3 linked regions of the Sus scrofa genome follow. The protein of the gene in region 1 interacts with the protein of each later gene in a pairwise test. Links are inferred from orthologs where the notes say so. Each region holds a gene or a part of one and is shown on either strand. Other genes may lie near its edges.

Region 1 (2,444 bases):
AGAACTCAAGCAGTGACACTTCTGCCCTCTCAGGCCAAGCCCCAATTCTCTACCCAGCAACGCCCCCCTGCCCTCCCCGTGCACGAGGGGCATGTTACAGGGCTGTGACACGAGGCGGAGGGGTGGGGGTGGGGGGGTCAAAGCCCCTCCTTGTGGGCCCCCATGCAACCTCCAGGGCTGAGTCAGAGCCTCAGCCAGTCTCAGGAGAAGCCCTCCTAGCCCCAGCCCGGCCTTAGTCTTGCTGAATGAGCCCAGGGCTGCGTTCCCCTTCCCTGGGACTCCATTTCCTCCTGAGCAAATGGCAACATTTCTGGTCCTGCCCAGGACATTTCCTCTGATTGAGTCCTTGCATCGCCTGACCTGGACAGGCTGCCGCAGAGTGGCTTCCCCACAGGCCAGAGCCTGCCCCCAAGGCGCACCCCCCACTCTGCCCCACAGGGATGAGGATGGTGCAGGAAGGGGCACCAGGGTCTTTGTCTGGATAGGCTGTCCCCACGTGAGTCCTGGGTGCAAGAAGCTCAGCCACCAGGGTTTGCTGCTATCACTAAACTTTTATTAAGAACATTCTCTGTGCAGAGCCCAATGCATGACATTGAAGAAAACAGGGACGACACAGCCAAGCCCCTGCCAAGGATGGAACAGAAGGGACACCGAGGGCCCCCAGGCAAGATGTGGCTCCAAGACGGTCACCGTGGAGCCCTGACAGGCAGGTAGGAAGCACCTACCCCTGGTGTTCCTGAGGCAATTGGATGCCACCCTCCTTGCCCTCCACGGGGGCTGCCTCTCAGCCCCCTCGGACCTTCCTCCACCTCCCAGCTGCTGCTGAAGGGTGGGGAGGAGACGGCAGGGGTGGCCGAGGGAAGGAAGGGGAGGAGGGGAGGGCTCCATGTGCAGGTGGCCTGCGTGAAGCATCACTGGCGCAGCCACAGCCAGAGGTTGGCAACGCAGACGGATACCAGCATGGTGAAGAAGAGGGTCTCCCTGTGGCGCCAGGTGGCGCCCTGGTCCTCCAGGGCCCGCAGCCGCCCGGTGATCACTTGCAGCTGCCAAGAGACCAGAGCTGGCAGGTGAGCAAGGCCATTCCGGGGAAGCCTGCGCACACCGGCGGGGGGAAGAAGTGTGACCTCAGAGCAGGAAGGGGGTCTGGACCAGAAGGAGGCCGGGCAGCTGAGGCCAGGGTGTAGGGTGGGCCCCGCCGCCTCGCCCCCACTTTGGGGACCTTCCTCTTGTCTGGAAGAAGCCAGCCCATCCCAGCTGTGCCACCGCAGAGTGAGGGCCATAGGATGAGGTGACACTTAGGGGCCAGAGAGGGGCTGCCAGGGAAGTTGTCCCCCAGGCCCGTGCCCCTGCCTGTTGGGGTCGCTTCCTGAGAAGACGCGGGCTTGGTCTGAAGGAAGGTGACCCCTCACTCAGATGTCTTGGCATGGCTCTTTCAGCACCAGTTTCTCCTGTGCCCCCATGTCCTCTCTTCCCCCCCCTCACGCCCCCCCTTCTTCCTTCCAGCATCTCGGGGAGAGACACAGGGTTGGGGCTGGGCATCAGGATAGATACGGGAGCCAAGGGGACTGGGGGGAGGGAAGGGCGACCTGGATGTCACCGTCACCTCCACCGCTAGAGGATAATGCGACTGGCAAGGCTGAGCATCGCCAAGGCGGGTGTCGAGGCCCCGCCTGCCCCAGGGCACTGGGCCTCGGCCTCCACCCTCCGCGTGGCTCCCCGGCAATCCGACGCTCACCTGTCTTCTCATGATTTCCATCTCCAGCCCGTTTAGCTCCTCCAGGCCAATCTCAGCGATCACGTCTGCCCCCAGGTTGCTGGGAAAAAAGACAAGAGTGAGAGTCAGAGCTCCTGGGAGACCCCCATCGATCGGGTCCTTCCCCCCCTGGTAAGCAGGTCCTGGGGCCTGAAGACTGGGAGCGGCCCAGTCGCAGGGGCCCCAAGCAAGCCAGGGGCCAGGAGGCAACGGAGCCCGAGCCCCGCTGGCACGGCCAGCTGCTCACGCTCCCCCCTGGCCAGCCTGCCTGCCAGCCCCTGTGGCCCAGCCTTGTCCCTGGGACCCTTCTTACCGCTCGTAAAGGAACCCCATGCCTTGGAAGCCGCCCTCCTGGTTTGGTTCTTGGGACGCTTTCTTTGGTGGCAGCTGGGGCCCCTAGAGAAAGGAACGGTCAGGCAGAGCAGCCTGGACAGAGGGCCCAGCGGAGCAGTTGCCCCGCACTCTGTCCAGGACCCACTGGAAGTGCTTGGGAACCCCACGAGGTGGCCGCCGGCCACACCCCGCATGGACCACGCTCCTCAAGAGCTCTTGGCCACCCAGGCTATGATGAAAGAAGAGCAGTGACGGTGTCCCTGCCCTCTGCCAGCACTGTCACATGCAGACACCGGCTGATCTGAGCAATGACTGAAGGAGAAAGAGGGAAAAGCCCCATTTCAAAACCAAGAAAACT
Region 2 (4,162 bases), on another chromosome or scaffold:
GGGGAAGGGGAATGTTTTCAGACCCTCATGAGGGTGGGGAGGTGCTTTACCAGAGAGGGTCAGGGAGATGCCCAGGGCCACATATCCTATTGGTAGCAGGTCTCTCTAGGTTCAAGCCAGTGTCCTTTTGGCCCATGCTTCACGGATAACAGCGGCAGTGTTAGTAAATAGGTCTAGAGGCCCTGTGGCCTAAAGAGAGGCTGATGCAGGTCAGAGACTCCGGGAGGACGCCAGCCCCCATCACCCAGCCTTGGCTACACTTAGAGGCTACAGCCCTGCTGGGTGGAAGGGAGAGTGGACATGGGACAACCCTGAGGGAAGACAGAACAAGGATGCCCATCCAGGCCCAGCACCATTGAAAATGCTTTCATTATATTAAATTCTTTTTTTTTTTTTTTTTCATTTTTTTGAGCAGCACCGGTGGCACATGGAAGTTCCTGGAGCTAGGGGTTGAATTGGAGCTGCAGCTGCTGGCCGATGCCACAGCCACAGCAACACCAGATCTGAGCTACATCTGCAACCTATGCCACAGCTTGCAGCAATGCTGGATCCTTTAACACACTGAGTGAGGCCAGGGATCAAACCTGCATCCTCATGGATACTAGTCAGGTTCTTAACCTGCCGAGCCACAATGGGAACTCCCTCATTATATTAAATTCTTGAGCCCTCACAGGCCTTGTGAGGTGGGTGCTTTCATTCTGCCAAGTTTTGGTGGGGAGCCTGAGGCTCAGGGGGGAGCTGGTCCCCAGGTGGCTCACCCTGAACAGCAGCAGCGTCCCAGGCACCACGGCACAGATCAGCAGGATGATCCCCTCAGCTGTGATGATGTTGTTCTTGGTCCCCTCCCCCATGTCCAGGAAGGGCCTGGGGAGGGGGTCTGTGAGGACAGAGTGCGGCTTAGAGCCCTGGCACCTCCCGCCCACCCCCACGCGCCTCCCAGCCCAGCAGCCACAGCCCCCCCTCAAAGGCCAAGACCACTGACGCCCCCACTTGGCAGGTGAGAAAATTGGCCACTATGTATGCTGACAGTAAGGATTGATGCAGGCACTGGCTCCATCCCCCTTCCCAGGTGAGGAAGCCAGTGTCCCCAGCTGTGGAGGGATGGGACCTTGGAACCAGCCCCCAGGCACTCACCTCGCACGCGGAGGTAGGTCCCACAGGAGCGCTGAATCCTCTGGCCCTCGTTGACTTCGCACCTGTACATGCCCCTGTGGCTCTTGTTCACTTGCTGGATGATCAGCTCGCCCTTGGGGCCCAGTTCTGAGAGATCCATGACCGGGGGCCACGTGGAGTTGCCTTGAGGGACGCGCCACCAGGTGATGTTAGTGCTGTTGCTGTTGTGTCTGCATGGGAGGCTGACCTTGTCCCCCACACTCACCGTCACCGATGGCGGGCCCCAGTCCACCCACAGGGCCTGGCAACAAGGGCCTGCGGAGAGGAGAGGCAGATGGTCAGGGACCTTGACACAGGCCCAGCCTGGCCCCTGCAGCTGTAGTGCTCCCGGCTGTGTATGTGTGTGTGGACTGTGTGCATGACGGACCCCGGGGCCCGTCCCCGCTCATCACTCCAGAGCCATCTCCTTCGGCCCTTTCCATACCCGCTCTCTGCTTCAGCTCCACTGCCCTCCCTGGCACTTGGATAGTTGGTCGCCTTGGTGCTAGAAGTGCGCTTGGCCTGGCAGCTCCTTCCAGAATCGGTTTGGCCATCGCCTCTTCCTGAGGGCCCTCCTGGTTCCCTCTCTCACCCCAGCCCCAGCCCCAGCTCGGGCCCACACTTGGCAATTTATTTATTTCATATAATTGTCACAGAACCCTGAGAAGTCGGTTCTCTCATTGTCCCATGTTGCAAGTGGGACAGTGGAGACCGAGGGTGGCAGGAGTGGCTCAGGGGGGTGAATCCTGACCCCGGGAAAAGGGTTTCTTCCTGCCTGTTTGCCGGCCCGCCTTGCCCTGTGACCCTGGGCCCACCCCCGCATGTCAAGCTGGGGGCCAGGGGTGGTTCAGTGGGTGGGCTGAGCTGGGGTTAGGGAGGGCCTCAGCTAGGTGGTTGGTGGGAGGGAGCTGGGGTGGCGCAGGCTGGCTGCTGGGGAAGCCCCAGTTTTCAGCCTCCCCCCACAGGCCAGTCCACATGGCTGGCTCTGCCTCCTTCATCGGGAGAAAGAGAGAGGTGAGGAGGACAGAAAGGAGGAAGAGGTGGGGACAGAGGTAGCAACCTCAGGGTCACGGTCATGGACTCCAGTCCTAGGTCCCAGTGTCACTTGGGGTGATTGGCCACCTCTCTTGGTGTGACAGGGTGGTCACAGCCCTGCCCAGCTGGCGGCGTTGCGCAGGAAGGGAAGGGGGAAGGTCACCCAGCTCCATAGACAAGGGATGAGATTCAAGGCAGAGAAGGAGAAAGCTTTTTCTTCCTCCTGAAGCTGAGCACTACCCACGGTCCCTCCCTGCCCCCAGCTCTGGAGCTCAGTGGGTCAAAGGCAACCTTAGTTCCTTATTTTGATCTGTGGGGATGAAGGGTGGCAAAGGTATCTCAGGCCCCCGCCTCCCTCCATGAAATATGCCCTTCAACTTCACTGAGCTCCCTTCAGCCTCCCGTCGGCCTGCTGGGGACAGTTAAGCTGATAGATGCAGTTTCTGTGGGGTCTTTTCCAGCCCTCCTCTTGTCAGCTCCTCTCCCACCCCCTCTGCCTGTGCCCTCTCAGCTGCCTCCCAGTTCCCCCACTCCCACCCCCGCACCTGCTCTTAACCACGTACCCAGGGCAGCTGCGGAGATCAAGAGGAGAAAGATGGTGGCAGGTGGGGTTTGGAGGGCTCGGCGACCCCCAGGCATCTTCTCCCAGTGAGTTGGTTTGTCTGGGTTGCAGCAGTCCGGGGGTACCAGATCCCACCTCGGTCAAGCTCAAAACCCCGCCCCACTTCCTGCCCAGCCCTGCGGAGATGGGCTCCACTGGCCCCACTGCTGGGCCGCTGGCTGTCAGGCTGCGGGGAGCCCCTGCCAGGAGGCTTCAGGCTACAAGTGGAGAGGAACCGCTCCCTGCACCTGTGGCCACCACAATTCCCCCGAGAGGAGACTGCTCGGGTGGGGGGAAGAGGCTGGTTCAAGGCCCTTCACCTCGTCACTGGAAAGGAAGACTGAGGCAGCTGGGGTTTGGGGTGCCTGCTGTGTTCAGGTGAGGGGGTGGTTCCAAACTTAGCCTCTGCTCCTCAGTGGCCTTGGGCAAAACTGGTCCCCTCTCTGAGCCTCTGTGTTTTCTTGGGGTTGGAAAAGAGGAGTTAATTAAAGAGACTGTACATGCTGAGCACGGAACACAGGGCCTGGCAGGGAGCAGGGGCTCAGTAAATGTTGGTGACCTTGAACACTCCCAAGGAATAAAGCATCAGGTCCACCAGCTCAGTGACTAGGTGGTAGCTTCCTTTTCAGAGCCTTGGCTTTTTTTTTTTTTTTTTTTTTCTTTTTTTGCCTTGGCATTTTTAACCTGAGCGATAAGGATAAAATGTCTCCTTGGTGGCGCTCCGAGGTGATGCAGTGAGTTTAGGATCCAGTGCTGTCACTGCTGTGGTGTGGGTTTGAGCCCTGGCCTTGTGGGCATGGCCAAAACAAATCTCCCTGGTATTGTGACATGAGATGAGGGTCCCAACGCCCATGCACCCCAGTGGGCTCTTGTGTGGTGTTCTTTCATTTTAGCCTCTACACAGGTGGGCAAGGCAGGTCATCCCCCTTTTATAGAGGAGGAAACTGAGGCCATCACAGGGAGGGGACACCATCACTGTCACTTGCCCAGTGTTATGTAGTTTGGTGGTGGGGCAGGGATTCCTAGTCACTTATGTGTGCCCAGGTTCCTTTGAGCATCAGTTTAGGTCAAGAGGGAGAGAAATGAGGCCTAAAGGTGAGGGGGAGGTGAATGATAAAAAGTTGTTGAGATGTTTGTGAGTGTTCAGGGGACCGTCTCACACATGTACACACTGACACATAAGGAGACAGCTAGGAAAAAACTCATGGCAGGAAGATTTCTGGTCACAAAAACTGGGAAACAGATGAAAAGCCCATTTACAGGAGAATGGATGATACCTTGAGGTACGGTCAACCAGTGGAGTAGTACACAGCAGAAGAGGCTGAGCTTTGCTTGTCTGTAGGGCTGCATCTCTGAGCCACAAGAGGTTAAGGA
Region 3 (4,158 bases), on another chromosome or scaffold:
TGGGTTCAACCATAAGATTAAAAAAGAAAACAGAAATTTAAAGGTTTTATTTTTTTGTCTTTTTAGGGCTGCACCTGTGGCATATGGAGGTTCCCTGGTTAGGAGTTGGATCAGAGCTGTAGCTGCAGGCCTACACCACAGCTCATGGCAATGCCAGATCCTTAACCCACTGATTGAGGCCAGGGATCCAACCTGTGTCCTCATGGTTACTAGTTAGATTCATTTCCATGGCTCATTTCCACTGAGCCATTATGGGAACTCCAAAAATTTAAGGGTTTTAGGTAAGTTTATGACTAATGGACCCAAATGGGTTATTAGCGTACGTATTTAAGATATTTCATAGAATGTACTTATCCTTTGAAGCTGAATTGACAGGGACACTTCCTTCTCCTCTGGCACCACAGATAAAGCACTGGACTGAATGGGCATATATCCAAGTCTCAATGTTAACACAGCAGATTAAGTGTGATTTATAAAGTAAAATATTTTAGGACCTTATGGACAGAGGCCTGGACAGCTAGTCAGCATTTCAAGCACATGGTAGCTACTGAATAGAACTAAACCTTTACTTGAATCAAATCAATAAATTAGCAAAACTTTTTAAATTTCCATATTGTCAACTCAGGCTATTCTATGCCCGCTCTCCCAAGAGTTAAACAAGCAAAGCCTTATTCTGTCACACAACGGATATTAAATAATTTAATATCCATTAAATTAAATCTTACAATATCATCAGAGACATGTGAGGAAATCTTTTAAAACCACGATTCTAACAATTATGGTGCAGCAAACACATAGCGAATATTCCTTAAAAGGTCCAAAAGTCCCTATCTGCAAATATTTAAATTTTGTTTCTCAAAAATGAAGTACTACTATGTAAAAAAGCAAGTTATAGAAAAGCTTACGTGGTATGATACCATTTTTGTATAAAACACATAAATGCAAAAAAAGAAGTCTGGAAAGATATAAAACACTGCTGACATTTTGGTGATCTCGATGGCAGGAATTACTTATGATTTATTACTTATCTATTTTAATTAACACTCCCTCCAATTATCACAAATTATATCATATAAGCAAAATATTGAGTTATAGGTTAGCATAAAAGTCAAAAAAAGAACTTCAAGAAAACATAATTCATTTGTTTAAATCAGCAGGATTCCAACCTTGGTACTAAGAAAAAAGATCTCAGCTGCACACACAGAAGGAAGAAATTTGTTATGAAGAGGTCCATTCTAGACCACACAAGGGTACTCACAAGGATACTTACAAGGGTATCCTTCAAGTGAGTAGTCTAAATTCCTAAGAACTCTTTCTAAATTTGCTAAGTTGCAATGGATTGGCACATAGTTCTGCTTTTCTATTTTGCCACCTGCTAAAGAAACACCTCAATTAATGAGTTCGCTGGGGGTGGGGGGGGAATGTTCCTGTTTTTAAAACTAAGTTAGGACAAAAAGGAGGTTTGGTTTTCTGGTCTCCTTCATGCTTTGAAAGGAGACGGGGAGGGTGGCAGGGCTCGAAGCAGGCTACACCAGAGGAATCTGCTTGGCTGGTCATCTGGAGTGGAAAGGAACACAAGCTTTCTGCCAGCTCAACAGACTGGACGGCGAGAATGCCTAAGGGTCTCAAGGCTGCACCTGAAAGGTCATACGCTGTCCAAGTTACTGTATGCACAGCAGCTTTTGACATGAATACAAAAACTGGACGGTCTCTTCAAACACAGGTATTGCATGAAGCTCATCCGACTTTCTCTACCCAAAGCCAAGACATTTTTTTAAGGCCACATCTTCGATTTTGCAAACTAGGACAACTGAAAACATCCTGACTCTCTACAGCTAACAAACATCATCTTGGCTGAAATCGTTAACACATACAGTAACAGCCACTTTGGAAAACGGGCTTTAAACGCAACATAGGACTTCAGGTACTCCAGTAACCAGTTTATCGCACTTTATCTGTTCCAGTAAAGGGTGCTACCTCTTTATGTCAGCTCTGGTTCCACTTACTGAACAGAAAAAAGGAATCCTTGAAATTCACAACACAATAAGGGCCAAAAGCACCCGCTTTCTGGATGGCAGCTTTCTTGTCTCATCAATCACAACAAAGAATGCAACCTAGTGACTTCATCAAAACCGGCAAAAGCTAAGGAACAGAGGTAAATGATACAGCGTGGATTTCAGGGTTTGTGGGGTTTTCTTTCCAGCTACGACTCTCTCTCCTTTTTTACTCCATTATACGCCTCCACCCGAGTTCACTGCTTGCCCTAAAAATAAAACCACCCGTGGCTACCGTCCACTTCCCTGCCAAGTCCCGACTCTGGTTTCCTGCAGAGAAAGCCAAATTTCAGGCTCTCCGCCTCGCTCTCCGTCGGGGGACGCGGGCTCGGCAGCAGCGGGTTTCTCCCGGTGCAGAGTCGCCGGCCCCGCCGAGGAACCACCGAGCCGGAGAAGCAGCTTTGCTTAGCCGCAGCCGCCGCAGTCCGCGAAAACCTGAGGAGCCCCCAAGAAACACCGGGGTGAGGGGAAGATGGGCCAGCAAACGGCGGTGGGAGAAAGGGGAGACACTCACCCGCCCAGACAACAACCGACGGGGCGGGGAGGATGGGGGCCGGGACCAAGCCTCGGCAGAAAGACCGCCTGGAGCTTCCGGAACGCTGCGGCTGCTCGGGCCGCCGCTGCTGCCGCTGCTCCTGACCGCCGGCTTCCTCCCCTCCTCTGTTTTGATTCGATTGACCACGTCACTCTTAGCCACGAGACCCGGATCTGCCGGCTCCCGCGGACGTCGGCGCAACAGATAGCAGCGCCTCCAGACCCCAGCGGCAGGCCTACTGAGCACGCGCGCGCCCCGCGCCTGCGCAGTGGGTCCGGAGAGGCGGAGCGGGAACAAGCTTTGCGCTGTTCGTGGGGGCGCTAGGCGCGGGTGTTGCAGTTCCGGCTGGGAGGGGTGGGGCCGAGCGTTATGAGGTGGAGGGGCGAAGCCCCACGTCTGCTGTAGCAGCCGGCGTGGCATCTGTTTCGTCTGATGTGGACAATGTCCTCTGCTGTGTGTCTCCCTTTGCCTAACCTGATGGCTTTCCTGGGCAGGAGTGTTTAGCGGGAGTAGTGGTAGGCGTTGGCGCAAGTTGATGTCTGCTGAGACATGTGGAGATTGTTTTGGCTCTCTCAGGCCAGGTGAAAATTGAAGATAGGGATTTAGTCTTATGTACAAAAGTATGTCAAACGTGGCATTTACCCCCTTTACTCTCCCTAACATTGCACTCGGAAAGCTGGCTAAAATTCAGTTCAAGGGGAGTATTAAAAGGAATATATGATGGATGGAGCGATAGTGGCGAACCTGGAGGAGAGCGCTGTTGTTAGGCAGTCAGCTCAAACCTTTTTTGCTTTGACTTTACGGATTGAAATAAGGATACTATTTGTGGTGTAAGAACCGCACTTCTTTTTAAACCAAATTAGTGCTTCCTTCTTTCCAGTTCTGGCCTTTTCAGTCTCCCCACTAAACCACTGGGGCCCAAGAAATTTCCCAATTTGGCAAAACTTAGGGCTACTCTGTTTTCTTAGTCCCATGAGTAGACAGACCTTAAAACAGGACCAGGAGGAAAATGAAAGTGTGAGTTCCGAACGAAGATTTCACAAAGGTGCCTATTTGCCTAGCCTGTGGGAGAGGTGAAAGCTGAAGGAAACTGTAGACTTCACTGAGTCAACCTTTTCAGCTAACCTGGACTTATATCTCAGTATTTGGTTAATCATCTCAACTAGCTGAGTCACCTTCAGCAAATTATTATAATCTGCAAGAGCTTTTTAATTAAAGGGGACGTCGAATGCAGGCAAAGGTTTCTAGAAAATGAAAGGTTTTTGGTAAAACCGAAAGTGTTTCCTAGGTAATTAACACTTAACAGATAGAAGTCAAGCTTCTTGGCCCTTACTCTGCAGTCTTGAACTCTGTTTACTCAAATTAAGAGGGTTTGAAGTAGACTCTAGTACCCTAGTGAAGTTCATGGGCTGACCTTGTAATAGAGGGTCTTTAATCTGTGGAACTTTAATTTGTGGAATAGAAAGTCTTGTATGCATCCATGTGCATATAAGTGTTTGAAAATACAGCTGCGTTTAAGAGAACAGTATGGTACAAAACCGAACTGGCACAGGATATCACAAAATTATC

The links. The genes of interacting proteins can lie anywhere in the genome.
Region 2: the proteins of FATE1 (region 1) and CD79A interact in binary tests that used the Homo sapiens proteins (3 or more experiments, as listed by UniProt). The two-hybrid records come from large-scale screens. The link is inferred for Sus scrofa from reciprocal best matches to the Homo sapiens genes FATE1 and CD79A.
Region 3: the proteins of FATE1 (region 1) and SMIM14 interact in binary tests that used the Homo sapiens proteins (3 or more experiments, as listed by UniProt). The two-hybrid records come from large-scale screens. The link is inferred for Sus scrofa from reciprocal best matches to the Homo sapiens genes FATE1 and SMIM14.

What each region holds. Positions count from the first base shown.
Region 1 is NC_010461.5:123,111,266-123,113,709, reverse strand, and holds the end of FATE1 (fetal and adult testis-expressed transcript protein homolog), read right to left. Parts: intron 2,150-2,444; coding exon 2,067-2,149; intron 1,815-2,066; coding exon 1,736-1,814; intron 1,044-1,735; coding exon 912-1,043; 3' UTR 532-911; downstream 1-531. UniProt on the Homo sapiens protein: Involved in the regulation of endoplasmic reticulum (ER)-mitochondria coupling. Negatively regulates the ER-mitochondria distance and Ca(2+) transfer from ER to mitochondria possibly implicating it in the regulation of apoptosis.
Region 2 is NC_010448.4:49,996,469-50,000,630, forward strand, and holds the start of CD79A (B-cell antigen receptor complex-associated protein alpha chain precursor), read right to left. Parts: upstream 2,827-4,162; coding exon 2,751-2,826; intron 1,429-2,750; coding exon 1,135-1,428; intron 878-1,134; coding exon 759-877; intron 1-758. UniProt on the Homo sapiens protein: Required in cooperation with CD79B for initiation of the signal transduction cascade activated by binding of antigen to the B-cell antigen receptor complex (BCR) which leads to internalization of the complex, trafficking to late endosomes and antigen presentation.
Region 3 is NC_010450.4:30,837,591-30,841,748, forward strand, and holds the start of SMIM14 (small integral membrane protein 14), read right to left. Parts: upstream 2,827-4,158; 5' UTR 2,569-2,826; intron 1-2,568.